Linked DNA regions of Arabidopsis thaliana. The protein of the gene in region 2 interacts with the protein of the main gene of each other region in a pairwise test. Each region holds a gene or a part of one and is shown on either strand. Other genes may lie near its edges.

Region 1 (7,893 bases), on a different chromosome or scaffold from region 2:
AGCTTGTGCTCTAAGCAAAAGTTTGGGCTTTGTGAAATCCCAACCGTATACACACTCATATCTCGACGCGTCAGCAACCTTTCCTGGCCGTAGATTAAGCCCCTTGACAAAAACCACCGTGGAATTGTCGTCGTCGATCACGGCGTCGTACACCAGCCAATCCCATCGGTGTGTGAGCCCTACTTGGAGATTATAATCATCAACCCTCCATCTCGAAACGGCGAGGGATACAGTATTGCCACGAGGCACGGCGGAACACCGTACGATCTGACGGCCATAGTCGTCGGTTTCCACCGCGAAAGGAAGCTCTTTAAAAAGTTTAGACGAATCGTTTACGTCGGAGAAAACGCAAAAGAGGTCCTCTTTCGTAAAAAACCGAGAAGATGGAGGGTATTTTAGGAAAATCAATGTTTGGTCGGGAAACTCAACTGCTTCATGGATCGTGATCACCTTAACCACCGGTACAGAACCACGAAGAACTGCGTTGACCGAAGACCGCACCACCGGTCGAATTTTGCCTGATTTATACAAATATTAATTAGTATTAAGTAATAATAAATAAATTAAAACGGTTGTGATTAATTGTTGGATTAATACCTAAGAAGATGAAGAAAGCAGAGAAGAGAACGAAGGAGAAGACGAACAAAGAAACAAATCGGAAAAATCTTCTCCATGAAACAACGACGTCGACACTGCTTAAACCACCGCGTTTCCTACGGTTCTTCATTTTTTACACCGCCGAAAACGGCGGCGATGGCTGAGAATTAAATCCAAAGGAAAAAAGTAATTAGACGAAGCAAAATATTTTAGTTCTTTCTTAGTCTTTCTTTGTTGCAGGCTACGAAGATTTTAGGACGATAAAAATTTTCTGAAGGAATAGAATATAATCTATTTTTACCTTTTTAAAATTCTCTGATAAAGAAAAAAAGACAAATAAATATGGGGTTTAGGTTTTGCCTTTTTTAATTTGTGTGTTTCTTTAGGAATTTTAAACTTTCTTCCTCGGTGCTCAAAGACGTTTCATGGAAATTTACGAACTTTGATGTAGAAGACGTTTCATGACCGCTTATTGTGCTAAATCAACCGGTTCGACAGGTTTATCTATCTGTATTTCCTTAGAAAAACCAATAAAATATCTAAAACTCTTTGGTATTATTGTCACAAATACTTATACAAGCTCAATAATACAATACTATGTAGTAATTATCCACGTTATAGTACCGTATAGTGTGATCTGTCGTAGTAATTTTCATCCTAATTAAGAATGTTTTTAATTTTTCGATAAAACATTCGAAGAGTGTTTAAAATATGCAGGAACATGTATGAGATTTGCCCAAAAGAAGAAAAAAAGCAAAAGAAAAGTTAGGATACCTTGCTTGTTATATTTCACGTCATTATTTATTTACCTATTTTAAGTGCTTTGAATTTATCCACTTTGTTTTTTTGTTTATCGTTGAAGTTGAGATTGAAAGAGACGAGGCTATGATTCGATTAGTGTCCTGACTTTGAGTGATATTGGACTTATACTGGGAAAAAGTAGGTTCCACTTATCTCCTTTTTTTTCTTCACGTCATCTCTAACGTCTATCCCACGTTGTCGTTTTGGTTCTTCCAAAGATATCTGTTTTGTAATTTGGCCCAAAAGGCCTTTCATCAAACGGCCCAATTGATAAAATGATCGAGATAATCATGGTTGATCAAGACTCAAAAGTCTAAACCAAATAATTAAGAATGATACTAACAAATATGAAAAATGAAATTAAGTTGAACCTTTGAAATGTTTTAGAAATGTTAAATGCGATTGTACCGCTCTAGTTGCAGTAAACACTATTGAATTCTAAGTAACAATATTGGTGTAAGTAGTGATATAATTGTAAGGGATGTTGCAAAATGCACTAATCTGATCCTAATTGTAATCATCTTGCAAAGAAAAAAAATGTACTCTCTCTCAGCCGCCATTAAAGCTAAAGCTTGATATGGTTAGAAGGGTTTCTTCTTCAGACCATTGTGTCTAATACGCTTCAAATCTTGAGATCTTCTCTTTAATCCTCTACAGATTAGTAAAACGTAAGAACAATGAGTTCATGAGGGCCTTTTTCGGTTTTAGAGTTGTAAGGAAATCTGAAACAGTATTTTAATGTTGTTGTTACCTTCGGAACAAATAGACAAAGCTGTAATAGAGAAGAAGCACTACCAAAACGATGATGGAGAAAATAATGTACACTATACTCCTCTTCTGCAAAACATATGACTGAGATTAAATGAGATATGATATGATATAATATCATTTACAAAAAAAGGGTTTATTATGTTACCTTTGGTTTTTGAGATAAGGGCTTTGATCCTCCTGAACATGTATGTGCATCGCAGAACTGACGCAAGAAGAAATCTGCAGTTTTAAAAGTTAAAACCCCCAAAAAAGGGTGGTGAATCTCTATGGATCATTAAAACCCCCCACGAAGAAGTCTACAATTGTAAAGTTTAAACCCCAAAAGTAGTGGTGAATCTTTATGGATCAATACAAGCAAAAACTGTTGAAATAAGATAGTAAAATTCAGGAAGGTTCTAATACCGTGAAGACGGTTGGCTGATGAACCTTTATTTACCGGAAAACAACTATTAGCCAAACTCTGCAATGCAACCACACCAGAGCAGATAAGCACGGGAACACAAGAAACAGAACGAAGACAATATGTTCAGAAGTGTTCAAATCTTTCAGTGAAATGTTCTTTGCAATTCTCAGAAGCTACAAGGTTTCTTTGAGTATTAGAGTCCAAACTTGTCATATGATATTGACCGAATCAAAACTAAAAAAATATGTACCTCACATAAGTGCCGGTTTTTTGCAGCAGCTGCAGGATTACACTTGGACTTAAGCCGAGCTGTGTCTACAACAAGATCACAATGCAACGCTCCACAAAGATCCGACAGACATTTACCATGACTCTGGATTCAAAAGCACATAAGTTATGAATCGCTAATAGACCCCAAAACAGTATGAATTGTCACAGAAAGATGGATCATTTTAACAATAATGCATCAGTATATACCGCATTAAGTAAATTGTAATGGCGCGAATCGAAATGCTTATCGAGATACTTCTCTTCATAAAAAGCCTTTTTGCAGAATCCACAACGCCACTCATTAATATCTGAACGCAATTTGTGCTCTTCTTGTTCTCTATAAATGTCATTGTCTCGATGAACTCTACAAGTACTCGGTAACTGATACCGCTCCTTTTCCACATACGGCATGAGATACTTCACAGCAACAACAAAGATCAATGAGAAAACTCTACAGATTTGCATAAAAAATAATAAAAACCACTGCTTTCAATTCATACCTCTTGAATGATTTTCCAAGCAACTCTGCTACGTTCTCTTGAACAATGAATCTCATGAAAACCGTCTTCAGGATCTTTAAAACCCTGTAGAACAACAACCACAAAGCTTCAAAATTTGAACAAAATCTAGAATTCTAAGTAAATCCCAAGTAAGCCAAATCGATTACAAACCCTAAAGTGATACAGACATTCTTCTACACGAAATTTACAGTTGAAATTGCTGAAAAACCCTAAAAATTTCACCTCGAGATTTTGTTGAATTATCGAAGTGGGAAGTGAGAATCCCCAAAACTGAGAAGAGATGAAGAAGCAGAGGAGAATCCAATGAGATGGGCATTGAGAATTCGATCTTCCCATCTTCGCTCACACCAAAAACAATCAAAGAAGATGATTTCAAATTTTGGTGTAATATATGAAAAATGAAACTTTAAGGGTTAAGAAAGAAAAATAGTTTGGGGTTATTTTCAAAACATAAGAATTTATAGGTGGTGTTATTGAATATTAGTCTTTAATGGATTTGGATGTTTTTTGTATTCAAGGAAAAAATCCAATGTTATTTAATTTCACTAAAAAATATGAAGATACAATAATGAATTTTTTTTGTACACATTTGGTTAGAATTCATTCAAACCTTTAAATGCTTTAAACTATTTTCTCTTCAATTGATTTTTTAATCTTTTTTTGAATAATGGACTATACCCTTTTCCAAAACTTCTAAATATTTTGAAAGGCCACCAAATGTTGGATTTTTAAATAATTATTTAAGGCTTTACTCTGAAATTTTCACTATTACTTTGTCAATTTTTTTTTTAATTCTATAATGAATAAAATCTTTGAAATTTAGAAATATGAATTAAAAAAAACGAACCAAAACTTCAACTTGGTTTTGGTTAATCTCTAAAGAAGGAGAAAGAATTAAAGTTTCAACGATGACAAATAATCTAATACATTTTGTTTATGAGATATAAAAGCGATGATAAAATCTTTTGTTTGACCAAAAAAAGTTTTAAAGTAAAACGCTAAAAGAGTTAATATACATTTTTGTTTATTTTTATGGGAGAGAAGCAATCAATATTTTCAGCTATATGATTAAATAATTGTTGGATGCAAAGGAAGAAAAGTAGTTGCTTTTGTGATGGGTTGAAGTGTAATGTATTCATTCTAACAACATCACTTTTGTAACTCAAAGCTGTTTTATTTGGAGTTACAAAAGTACACCTACCGTTACATAAACCAACGCTAATCACTTACTAATTAGTTTTCCCTAATAAATCGTATTTATTTCTTCTTCTTTCTTTTTTGGCTACTTTTCTCCAAACTTATCTACAATTTTATTTCTTTAGTCTTTCTAATGACTCTAATATTCACACCCTAAATCAGATTCATTTTTTTAACCAAAAAAAATCAAATGTAAGCATATAAGTACTAATATAAAGTTTTTTTTAATAGAAAATCAGATTCATTTTTTTTAGTTAAAACAACTAAAATAGTTTTTAAACGCGTTGATATATCTAAAAATTAAAAAAAAAAATTACTCAGAATTCAGTTTAAATTACAGAGTTTTTTTTCCCAAAAAGCATTTCACATTTTAATATTTCATCACCAGAAAAAATTCGTTTTCTCTCTTGTTGCAATTCTCAGCCACTTCATATCAACAACTATAGCAGAATCATTCATTCTTGTTAGACTTCTTTGATACATAATTTATTCTCAGTTTCTCAAATTCCTATCAAATTTTCAAATAAAAACTCAAAATTGAGTATCTTCTTTATTTAAAAAGATATTCTGAGTTTTATCTGTTTCGTGGGACCCAGATCTCAACCAAAGTTCTTCAGATCGTCTCCTAAAACATGTGTTTAGGGCTGACAAATAAAAGTTTTTAAAATTCGAAAAAATTCTTTTATAGCCGTTTCGGTGAGAAAACCCATTAAAACGCTTCGATTTTTATTTATTTCCTTTTGAGATTCCAACGAAGAAGTTCTCGATTTTGAGGTTTTGTGGCCAATGGCTGAATCTGCTGTTCTGTTTCATTCCTATTCGTTCGCAGCTCCTCCTTCTCGTAATGAATCTCATGAGGTTAGTTTCATTCTCTCTATGATTCCTGGGAAAATTCGATGGTTTCTGGGAGATTTTGAATGTAAAGTTTCAAACTTTAGGGTTTAGCTTGATAGATATGAATCTTGATGTTGATTTTACTCAAAGTATCTGAATTGGGTTTGATTGGAAACAGTTTGATTCACCAGAAAGTTTATAACTTTGGTTTTGAGTTTTGGTAAGATTCTGATTTTGATATGTTGGATTGTTGCAGGATAATACGATGCATGCGCTTAGTCAATCAGTTTCATTTGGTAGATTCATGACAGAGAATCTTGAATGGGGGAAATGGTCAAGTTTTTCGCATAAGAAGTATGTCGATGAAGCTGAGAAGTTCTCTCAGCCTGGATCTGTTGCTCAGAAGAAAGCTTTCTTTGAAGCTCATTACAAGAAAATAGCTGAAGCAAAGAAAGCAAAAGCTTCAGATCAATCATCTGATTCTGACCCTAAACAAGAACCAGAAAGTGTTGCGGTGTTGCTTAACACTTTGGAGACATTGACTAAGGATGAGGTTAAGGAAGAAGAGGGTGATGAAACTGAGTTAGTCTTGAGTAGTAGTGAAGAGTTGGTGTTGAGTATTGAGAAAGATGATGAGCCAGTAAGAACAAATGTTGCGGTTTTGGAACAAGAAGATGATTTGCAGGTTATTCATGATGATAAAGAGAAAGATAATCACTCTGAGGATGGAGAGTTGGTGAAGAAGAGTTGTTTCGTTGGAGAGAAAGAAGAAGAGAGAAAATCCGTAACCAAGAACTCATCGGTGGTTAGATTGTCTATAGAGAAATCAGCAACTTCTGAAACTCCGGACAAAGCAATGGAGCTTGTTTTCTCACTGAAAATAAGGTAACAAAAGCAGCTTTGATTGTTTTGTCTAGAATTTGTCCTCCATCTGATTGTTTTATGTTGTAATTTTGCAGTGGAAAACCGATAACTCATAGTTCGTTGACGAAAAGCGAAAAACCAGTTCGTCCTAGATTCGGTTTCTTGAGGTAAGACTGATTTGTTATCTCTTCTTGAGTCAATGTGTATTTGAGTTGATGTTCCTATCCTAATTGTATACTGTTGTTGTGATGTAGCTGTTTGATGGGAAACACTAAAACTCAAGATCAAAAGCTGACTATAAAGAAGGTAAGATTTCGACTTTTAACAAAATCATGAGAAGAAGCCTTTTCTCATTTCCATTAGTAATATGAATACTGACACTAGCTGTGTTTATTCAGCAGAGAAAGACGAGTAAGAAACCATTTCTATGTCTTTGCTTCAAACCCGAGATGGCTGGGGAAACAGAAGCAGGAAGACAAAGGTAGAACACCAAAACACAGAAGAGGAATCTCTGAAAACACTTGCAAGTAGAAAGATTGATCTGTCCTAGGATTCAAGAGTGGTAAAAAACTAAAAAAGAGAATCTTTGAGTGCACAGTAGCAAGAAAAAAGTGAATATCAGAAGAACGTTTGTTTCTTTTTTCTGGTATTGTATCTTTGTGAACCTTTTTGTTGTATGTATGTATCTTCTTCATCTTCAATGAAAAACCTTTCTCCTTCTTTCATAGTCTTTATACTCGATTCGAATTCGATATGTTAAGTTTTATATTGCTCTTCATTGAGATGTGATTGCAGGAACCTCTCTTTCTAATTTGGAATGGAAAAAGGTATCAACTTTACATTAATTTCATTTATAAAACAAGATTTAAGAATCAAATCACACTAACACAAGTTATTAAGAATGATAAATAGTAGTAGTTGAACCTCTGTTCTGATTTGGAGTGGGAATGAGTTGTTGAGAAAAGGTTTCAACTTTACATAAATTACAATTATAAATCATAGTTTTTGATTTAAGAATCAAATCACATTTACATAGAAATAATCATTCATTCCCCCAAGTTATTAAAAATGATAAAATTTACAAAAGCAAAAGGAAAGACAATTATTGGGGGATAATCAGAGAGATCAGTTAAGTCATCATTTCTTCAACCAAATACCATCCTTCATCATATTCTTCCACATGATCCATCATCATCATCATCCCCACATCACAAAAACTCATCCTTCCATCATCATCTGTATCATCATCATCATCATTTGACCCTTCTTCTTCTGTTTCACCACCATCATCACTACTCTGTATATTCACAACTTCTTCTACAACACTCCCTCTGTTTTCTTCTTCTTCATTTTCTTCATCATAATCATAATCATGATCATAACCATAATCATCAGACATAAGATCAAGTATTCCGGTAGCCGAGAACCCGGAAAGCTTCAAACCGGGTCTAGGCCCACCGGCAGCGACCTGCCAAGTCAGCATCTTATAGGTGACATCATTTGTTCTCACCTTTGAAGAGCCTTTAGTCTTGGCTTTAGATTTGGTGACCGGGTGCATATGGCAGTCAAGGCACCTTGCTTGACCACATTTCCCGGTGAATTTCGAGTGATTGGTCGGCTTTGATGTCACTTTGG
Region 2 (6,603 bases):
CTTGGTGTCTTCATATGGATGCTGGGTAGGTATTTTCTTTACGCTAAAGATTGATTGTTATCTGAAGGAATGAAACAGACGAGATAAAAAAAACTTGCAGAAGATGGAAACTGTAATTTCTTTCAAGGGTTAAAAAGTCATTCGTCAGTCAACTGCAACGTCTAGTTGTTTCCATACTCGGTTTCAAACAAAAGCTGACATGCTTCAGAAAACCTATCCATAGATTCAAGCTTCTCCATCATCATCTCCTTGATTTCAGGTTGTAAGGTGGATTTTGAAATAGATTGTCACCGTCTTTAAACACCTGGATATGCTTGGGATATATTCCACTAATTCTTCTCTTCTTCTCTTCCACCGTAGTCTATCAACTCAAACTTCTCTAGACACGAATACAAGCATTCGGGATAAGAGCCCCTATCGCTCTGAAAGCTGATGCGATAGGGGATCTATCTGTTGATCTCTGAAAAGTTTTGACATGGTATTAGCAATAATGCTAGTAAGTAACCACACGTCAGCAAGTGTTTGTGCTGAGTCTTAAACATACATTTTAGGCTCAATACTGAAAACTACACACTAAACGGAATTATTAGGCTGGATACAGAAACTACACACTAAATGTAGTTAAGTGGTCAAGTGATCATCATTCTTCTAACTATAACCTTATTATGTAGACAGGAAACAAACCGATGACCTTATTCGTCTAAGCTCATAAGATTATAATATACATAAAACGCATTTGAAATCACGAATCCAATTTGTAGTTAATCCAAGCATATGTATAAACAAGCGTTTTAATGATTTGTTGTGATATTATGGATTTCATGTTCACAAGTTTTTGCAGTGTGATACAGAGCCGATACGTTTTGTTTAGGGTTTGATCAGTGAGTCGTGACAATAAAGTTTTGACAAAGTTCAGTTTTGTTTCTAGCTTGTGAATTTTTGGTTAATTTAATTGACCATTGAAATGGAAAGATGGCTTGCTTGTTTTGAATCTCTCTTCAGTTCAGGGTGTTTTGTTTAGCTAAAAGAACTTATATTATTACTGGTACAAAGAATTTAACAACATCAAAATCTTAGCCAAGGAATCTAAACATCTACGACACATATCACTAAAACCTCTGCAACTTGTCAGCTCTGATCAAAGGCAACTGTGTGGCCAAGGCGAGCCGTCCAGATTGTTTGTAATCAAAGGGACAAGAATGCTCCTCCGGATAACGATGTGACCCGCAAAACATGTGTCCACATCTACACTTGAATCCCAACATTCCTACCTTCCTCTTACATATCCCACATCTCCTTTTTTTGACCGGTTCTTCTTCAACGGCGGGACTATTCGTAGGAGGGCAACACTGTGATTGCTCGGTCTCGGGTTCGAATCTTAAAGCGGGCGAGTGTTGAAGAACACTCTTTTTGTAGCAGAGAGAGCATAGATTGTTGTTCACTCGGGTGCCGTAGAGTCCACAGCCTCCCTCGCATGGTAATGCTTCTGTTTCGTTCACCATCTTCTTTCTTCTACTTCTTGCGATAGTTGTTATATGAGAGTCAATATAATTCAATATTTTGTGTGAGCTCTATCAATGACTCTAAAATCTAAATATATAGAGGATGTCTATTGTTCTTAGTTCTTCTGGAATTGTGTAGTGCAATTAAGTTTCCCTTTTTTAATACAATTCGGTAAGTGTTTCCTCTTTTGTAATAGTCATCTACGTTCGATAAGTGTTTGCTAACGATTCTTATTGCAAGTTATTGATTTTCCTTTCCTCATATAACTAAGAAAGGAAAAGTTACAATAGAAACGCTGAGAGATATTTCATAATAAGGAAACTGAGAAGACGTGTTTAATCCTCTTCGAACAGTCATAAATCCAATAAAGAAAAACGTTGACTAATGTAAGAAAAAAAAGACAAACCAAATAAATAACTAATCCAACTTGATGATAATTTAGACAACAGCAGCTTCCTGGTAGTTTCTAAAACGTCGGTTCGTTTTCTAAATACAGAAAAGAGTTGCGTGCCGTTTTCACTATCTTAAGGAGTAATTAATTAGTTTCAAGTAAAATACCAAATTAGACAATTCCACATGGTGATCTTTGATGGCCTCCCCACCACCGCACGTGAATTTGGAATACCTTGTTTAGTTTCATTATCAAATTACACCTAAACGCGTTACTAATTAAATTATTTATTGTCTATCAAAAAGCCACGCAACAACAGTCTAGCATTTAAATCTTCACGTGGGTCTAACCCGGTTCCGGTTTCATTATCCGGGTATATGTTTTGGCTTCGTCTGAATTTGAATTTGAGTTTTCTCATTCAAAAAACGATAAATAAATAAAATATTGGTCAGTTATTCTTTCTATGGTTCTTGTTTGATATAGAAAGAATAACAGGTTTTGGATTTGTCTGTGTGTTTGGACTTTGGATTAGTATTCATTCGGTTTAACCAATCAAAATTCGCAACCTTAACACGTTATAAACCATGATGTAATGATTTAATCAATGATCAATTAAATGTATAGAAATTTATTTTCCATTTCCGCAACAGCTCAAAACGTTTTCTCTCTTTTCCGATTTTAGTCTAAAAACTGAAACAAACACAAAAAGCAACAATTTGTCTTTGAAAATCTCCTCTGTGTATGGTTCAGCTTCGGTTTACTAAATCTCTATGCCGTCACGATCAATCTCGGCACCGGTTCCGGTTCTTGCTCCGGCTCCGATCGTTTCCTCTTTAGTCCCAGCAGCGCCGTCAGGACATCAGAATAAGACAACGCGAATCTTTCCACCGTTCGTGGTGGCTGGAGCCGGCGCCGGTTTCTCTCTTTTCATCACTCTCTCCGTCTGTTTCTGTAAATTCAGCCGGAAACGTTCATCACCTCCGGCGGAAAACGCTTCCTCTTCGCCTCGGAGACCGTCGCCACGTGAGTTTTCATATTCGTCTCTCCGTCGCGCCACCGGTTCTTTCTCGCAGGCGAATAGACTAGGTCAGGGCGGATTTGGCGTCGTGTTTCGTGGAACTATCTCCGGCGGCGAGAATGTAGCTGTTAAAGTAATGGATTCAGGATCTCTTCAAGGAGAAGGTGAGTTTCAGAACGAGTTGTTCTTCGCCGCCAAGCTTGACTCGCCTCACGTTGTCCCTGTTATTGGTTTCTCTCATGATCGAAAACGACGACGTTTGCTTCTTGTTTACAAGCTTATGGACAATGGTAATCTCCAAGACGCCTTGCTTCACCGGAGATGCCCTGAGCTTATGGATTGGAATCGGAGGTTTTTGGTTGCCGTTAACATTGCCGATGGGATTAAGCATCTTCATAGTCTTGAACCACCTGTGATTCATGGTGATATTAAGCCTAGCAATGTTCTATTAGATAGTCTCTTCTCTGCCAAAATCGCTGATTTTGGTTTGGCTAGGTTGAAAGCAGAGCAAGTGGAGATTAGTGTAGCTCCGGAGCGTGATGGTGATGGATCTATGGTTGAAGAAGTAGAGAGTGTGGTAACTACTGTGACTGGTTATGAAGATTTTAACTTTGGGTTGGTTGATCAGTCTCCGGAGAGTGTTGCTAAGGTTCCTGGGTCTGTGAGTGCTTCTCCTGAGGCGACGACGGTTGTCTCTGTTTCTCCGGAAATGGGAGAGAAAACGGATGAGGATGGTGGTAGTGTTGTGGTGATGAAGAAGGGGAAAGAGAGTGAGAGCAAAGATTGGTGGTGGAAGCAGGAGAGCAATGTTGAAAGAGGGAGAGTGAAAGAGTATGTAATGCAATGGATTGGTTCAGAGGTAAAGAAGGAGAGACCAAGCAGAAGTGATTGGATTGAGGCGGCAGCTTTGTCTTCTTCGTCAAGTAAGAAACTTGAGAAGAAGACTAGCAAGAGACTAGATTGGTGGTTGTCATTGGAGGAAGAGGATGAGAATAAGAAGAAGAAGAAGCGGAGGATGGTTAGAGAGTGGTGGAAAGATGAGTATCGTAGAGAACTCGCTAAGAAAAGGAAGAAGAAGAAGAAGATGACTTTAGAAGCCGAGTTTTGTAGTGATGATGGGAGTAGTAGTGTGAGTCAATGGCGGCGTGGTAGTGGTAGTGGTAGCAGCATAGATTGGTGGTTAGATGGGTTAAGTGGTGAACGATGGTTGAGAGCAAGGGGAAATAGCCATGACTCGGTGAGCGGTGAGATAGCTAAGAGCTGCGGAATTAGTAGCACGCCGAGCATGAGAGGGACTGTGTGCTATGCAGCTCCTGAGTACTGTAACTTGGACAACAACGTGTCAGAGAAATGTGATGTCTATAGCTACGGTGTTCTGTTGTTAGTTCTGATTTCCGGGAGGCGCCCGTTGGAGATGACGGGCTCCGCGAGTGAGATACAACGGGCAAACCTCATGTCTTGGGCGAGGAAGTTGGCGAGAAGAGGAAAACTTGTTGATCTTGTGGATCAAAAGTTGCAAAACTTAGACCAAGAACAAGCAGTGTTGTGCATAAAGGTGGCTTTGTTGTGTCTGCAAAGATTACCGATTTCACGACCGTCAATGAAAGAGGTCTTGGGAATGCTTAAAGGAGAAGTGAATCTACCAGAGTTGCCTAGTGAGTTCTCACCATCGCCACCATTAAAGACAACGAGGAAGCAGCGCCGTTGACTAATTTAGGAATCATTTTGATTATTATTATTCAAGTGTTACACCGCTAGTTTTAGGAACTTTGATTCAATTTCACTATACTTTCCAATTTCTCTTTCTATAGTTTCACACGCATTATTGACATTGATTTTTTTTTTACACGTTTATACTTCGATGTCAATATGTCATACAACACTTCTTCAAATCGGAGTTGCTCGGGATTGGATTATTAGCAGAAAGAAAAGGCTAAAACTTTTTCCACCTCCAAAAGTCATTTAAAGGTCACACAAATCCTATGGGCCTAATCAGTTAACAAACCACTTCCAATCGAGTTAAATGAAATGAAGATACCAAATTGGGTCACGTTAGGAGTCAGCAGTTTGTGTTCTTTATATATGGACATGGGCCATCTTCGATTTTTCTTATTCGTTTCTACTTAAAATCACCAAGATTTATTGAATTTTTCTTCTTATTATTATTTGGCCCTTATATAGAGTATGGTCTATCCATAATTTGGCCCAGTTTTTTAAAAATACTAGATATTTGGAACATGCATGCTTTTTATTTTTAAATGTATCAGATTCAGATGAAACTCAATTATTAAAAAAAAAATCATACATAAACAGTTTAAAATATTTACTACTACTTAATTATTTTCGGATTAAGAAATCCCTTATAACATTTCATAAAACATAGTATTCTGCATTTTTTCAAAAAGTTGTTGTAATGTTTAGAAAACAAATTGAAAATGCAACAGTTTTTAATGAATAAATGCAAGGCGTTATAGAATGTTGGTTTGTTTTTCATTTTAAGTGTTTTTCAATATTTTAAATAATAACAACAACAAAAATCATTTGCTTTCGACTAGAAACAATGACTTATATCATTGCTTATACGAGTGCATGTTACAATCGTATGTGGCGGTTAGTCATCCTACTTGGCTCGATCGATGGTGTATTTGCTGAGGAAAGGGCTTTGTGTTCTGATTAAATTTGAGTTTTGATGGTAGTATGGCTTGAGTAAAGGTTGAGGATGTTGTTTCATTTTCATATGTCTGGCTCTTTCACCTCTTTGGTGGGTATGTGTTGTATCAAACAATCGTCTCTTAATACAATACCAGTTGACAAAAAAAGAGCAGTAACTAATTCTTATAAACTATAGTACATTATTTCCTATATATTTTATAACATAAAATAAATCATATTTTCTCATAATTTAAAGTGCTATTCAATGATTTTTAGGAATACGATCCAGCATATGGCCTTGCAGTCTATAGTATATATAAAAATAATTATATGGTACCTATGTCAGAGATATCTAGGATATATAGTAGATCGTCGTACAATTGATATATCATATAGTATGTGTATACAATAAGAAAATAAACATATAAATTGTACGATCTCTAAAGAATACTTTAAAAATGATAAATATTAAGATATGGAATGTTGAAGGGAACCTATTAAAAAGAGAAGAAATTAATGATGAAGCAGAAAGACGTCATTGCTTACCCTAACAAACCTCTCTCTCCATCTTTTTCCGATACGTCTACCAATAACTTAGTATTTTTTTCTCTTAGTTTTTAATATTATAACCAAACCCTTTTACTATCTTTTTTCCGACTCCCATATCTTTTTTTTTTCCGACTCCCATATTATTCAACTTTACAACAAATCCCTGACTAGAGCAAATCCCAGAGCACAAGATCAGATCCTTCTGTCTCATCATCATCATCATTATTATAATCATAATTACAAGAAGAATCGTTGTTCAAAATAATTAACGTATAACGACTTCTAGATGAATAATTTTCAGGAGAAGAAAAGAAGGCGTAGTAAAACGCCGAGAGTTTGTAATAACGAAGAAAACATGGAGAAGTTAGTACATAAAGAAATTGAGAAACGAAGGAGACAAGAAATGGCTTCTCTCTACGCGTCTCTCCGCTCTCTTCTCCCTTTAGAGTTCATCCAGGTCAAAACCCTAATTACTCTTGCTTTTAATTTC

The links.
Region 1: the proteins of SAP10 (region 2) and AT5G40710 interact in a two-hybrid assay, tested with the Arabidopsis thaliana proteins (one large-scale study listed by BioGRID).

Annotation. Positions count from the first base shown.
Region 1 is NC_003076.8:16,290,897-16,298,789, reverse strand, and holds AT5G40710 (zinc finger (C2H2 type) family protein), read right to left. Parts: upstream 3,824-7,893; 5' UTR 3,700-3,823; coding exon 3,586-3,699; intron 3,427-3,585; coding exon 3,343-3,426; intron 3,260-3,342; coding exon 3,050-3,259; intron 2,946-3,049; coding exon 2,823-2,945; intron 2,630-2,822; coding exon 2,572-2,629; coding exon of another isoform or gene 2,444-2,571; exon of another isoform or gene 2,389-2,443; coding exon 2,315-2,388; intron 2,236-2,314; coding exon 2,150-2,235; intron 2,050-2,149; coding exon 1,980-2,049; 3' UTR 1,746-1,979; downstream 1-1,745. Other genes in the region: AT5G40720 (C3H4 type zinc finger protein (DUF23)), read right to left, coding at 1-518, 598-727; AT5G40700 (transcriptional regulator ATRX-like protein), read left to right, coding at 5,347-5,418, 5,651-6,279, 6,354-6,425, 6,513-6,564, 6,657-6,743; AT5G40690 (histone-lysine N-methyltransferase trithorax-like protein), read right to left, coding at 7,388-7,893.
Region 2 is NC_003075.7:12,974,827-12,981,429, forward strand, and holds SAP10 (stress-associated protein 10), read right to left. Parts: upstream 1,813-6,603; 5' UTR 1,503-1,812; coding exon 1,110-1,502; 3' UTR 1,022-1,109; downstream 1-1,021. Other genes in the region: AT4G25390 (Protein kinase superfamily protein), read left to right, coding at 2,665-4,620; AT4G25400 (basic helix-loop-helix (bHLH) DNA-binding superfamily protein), read left to right, coding at 6,400-6,570. UniProt on the Arabidopsis thaliana protein: May be involved in environmental stress response.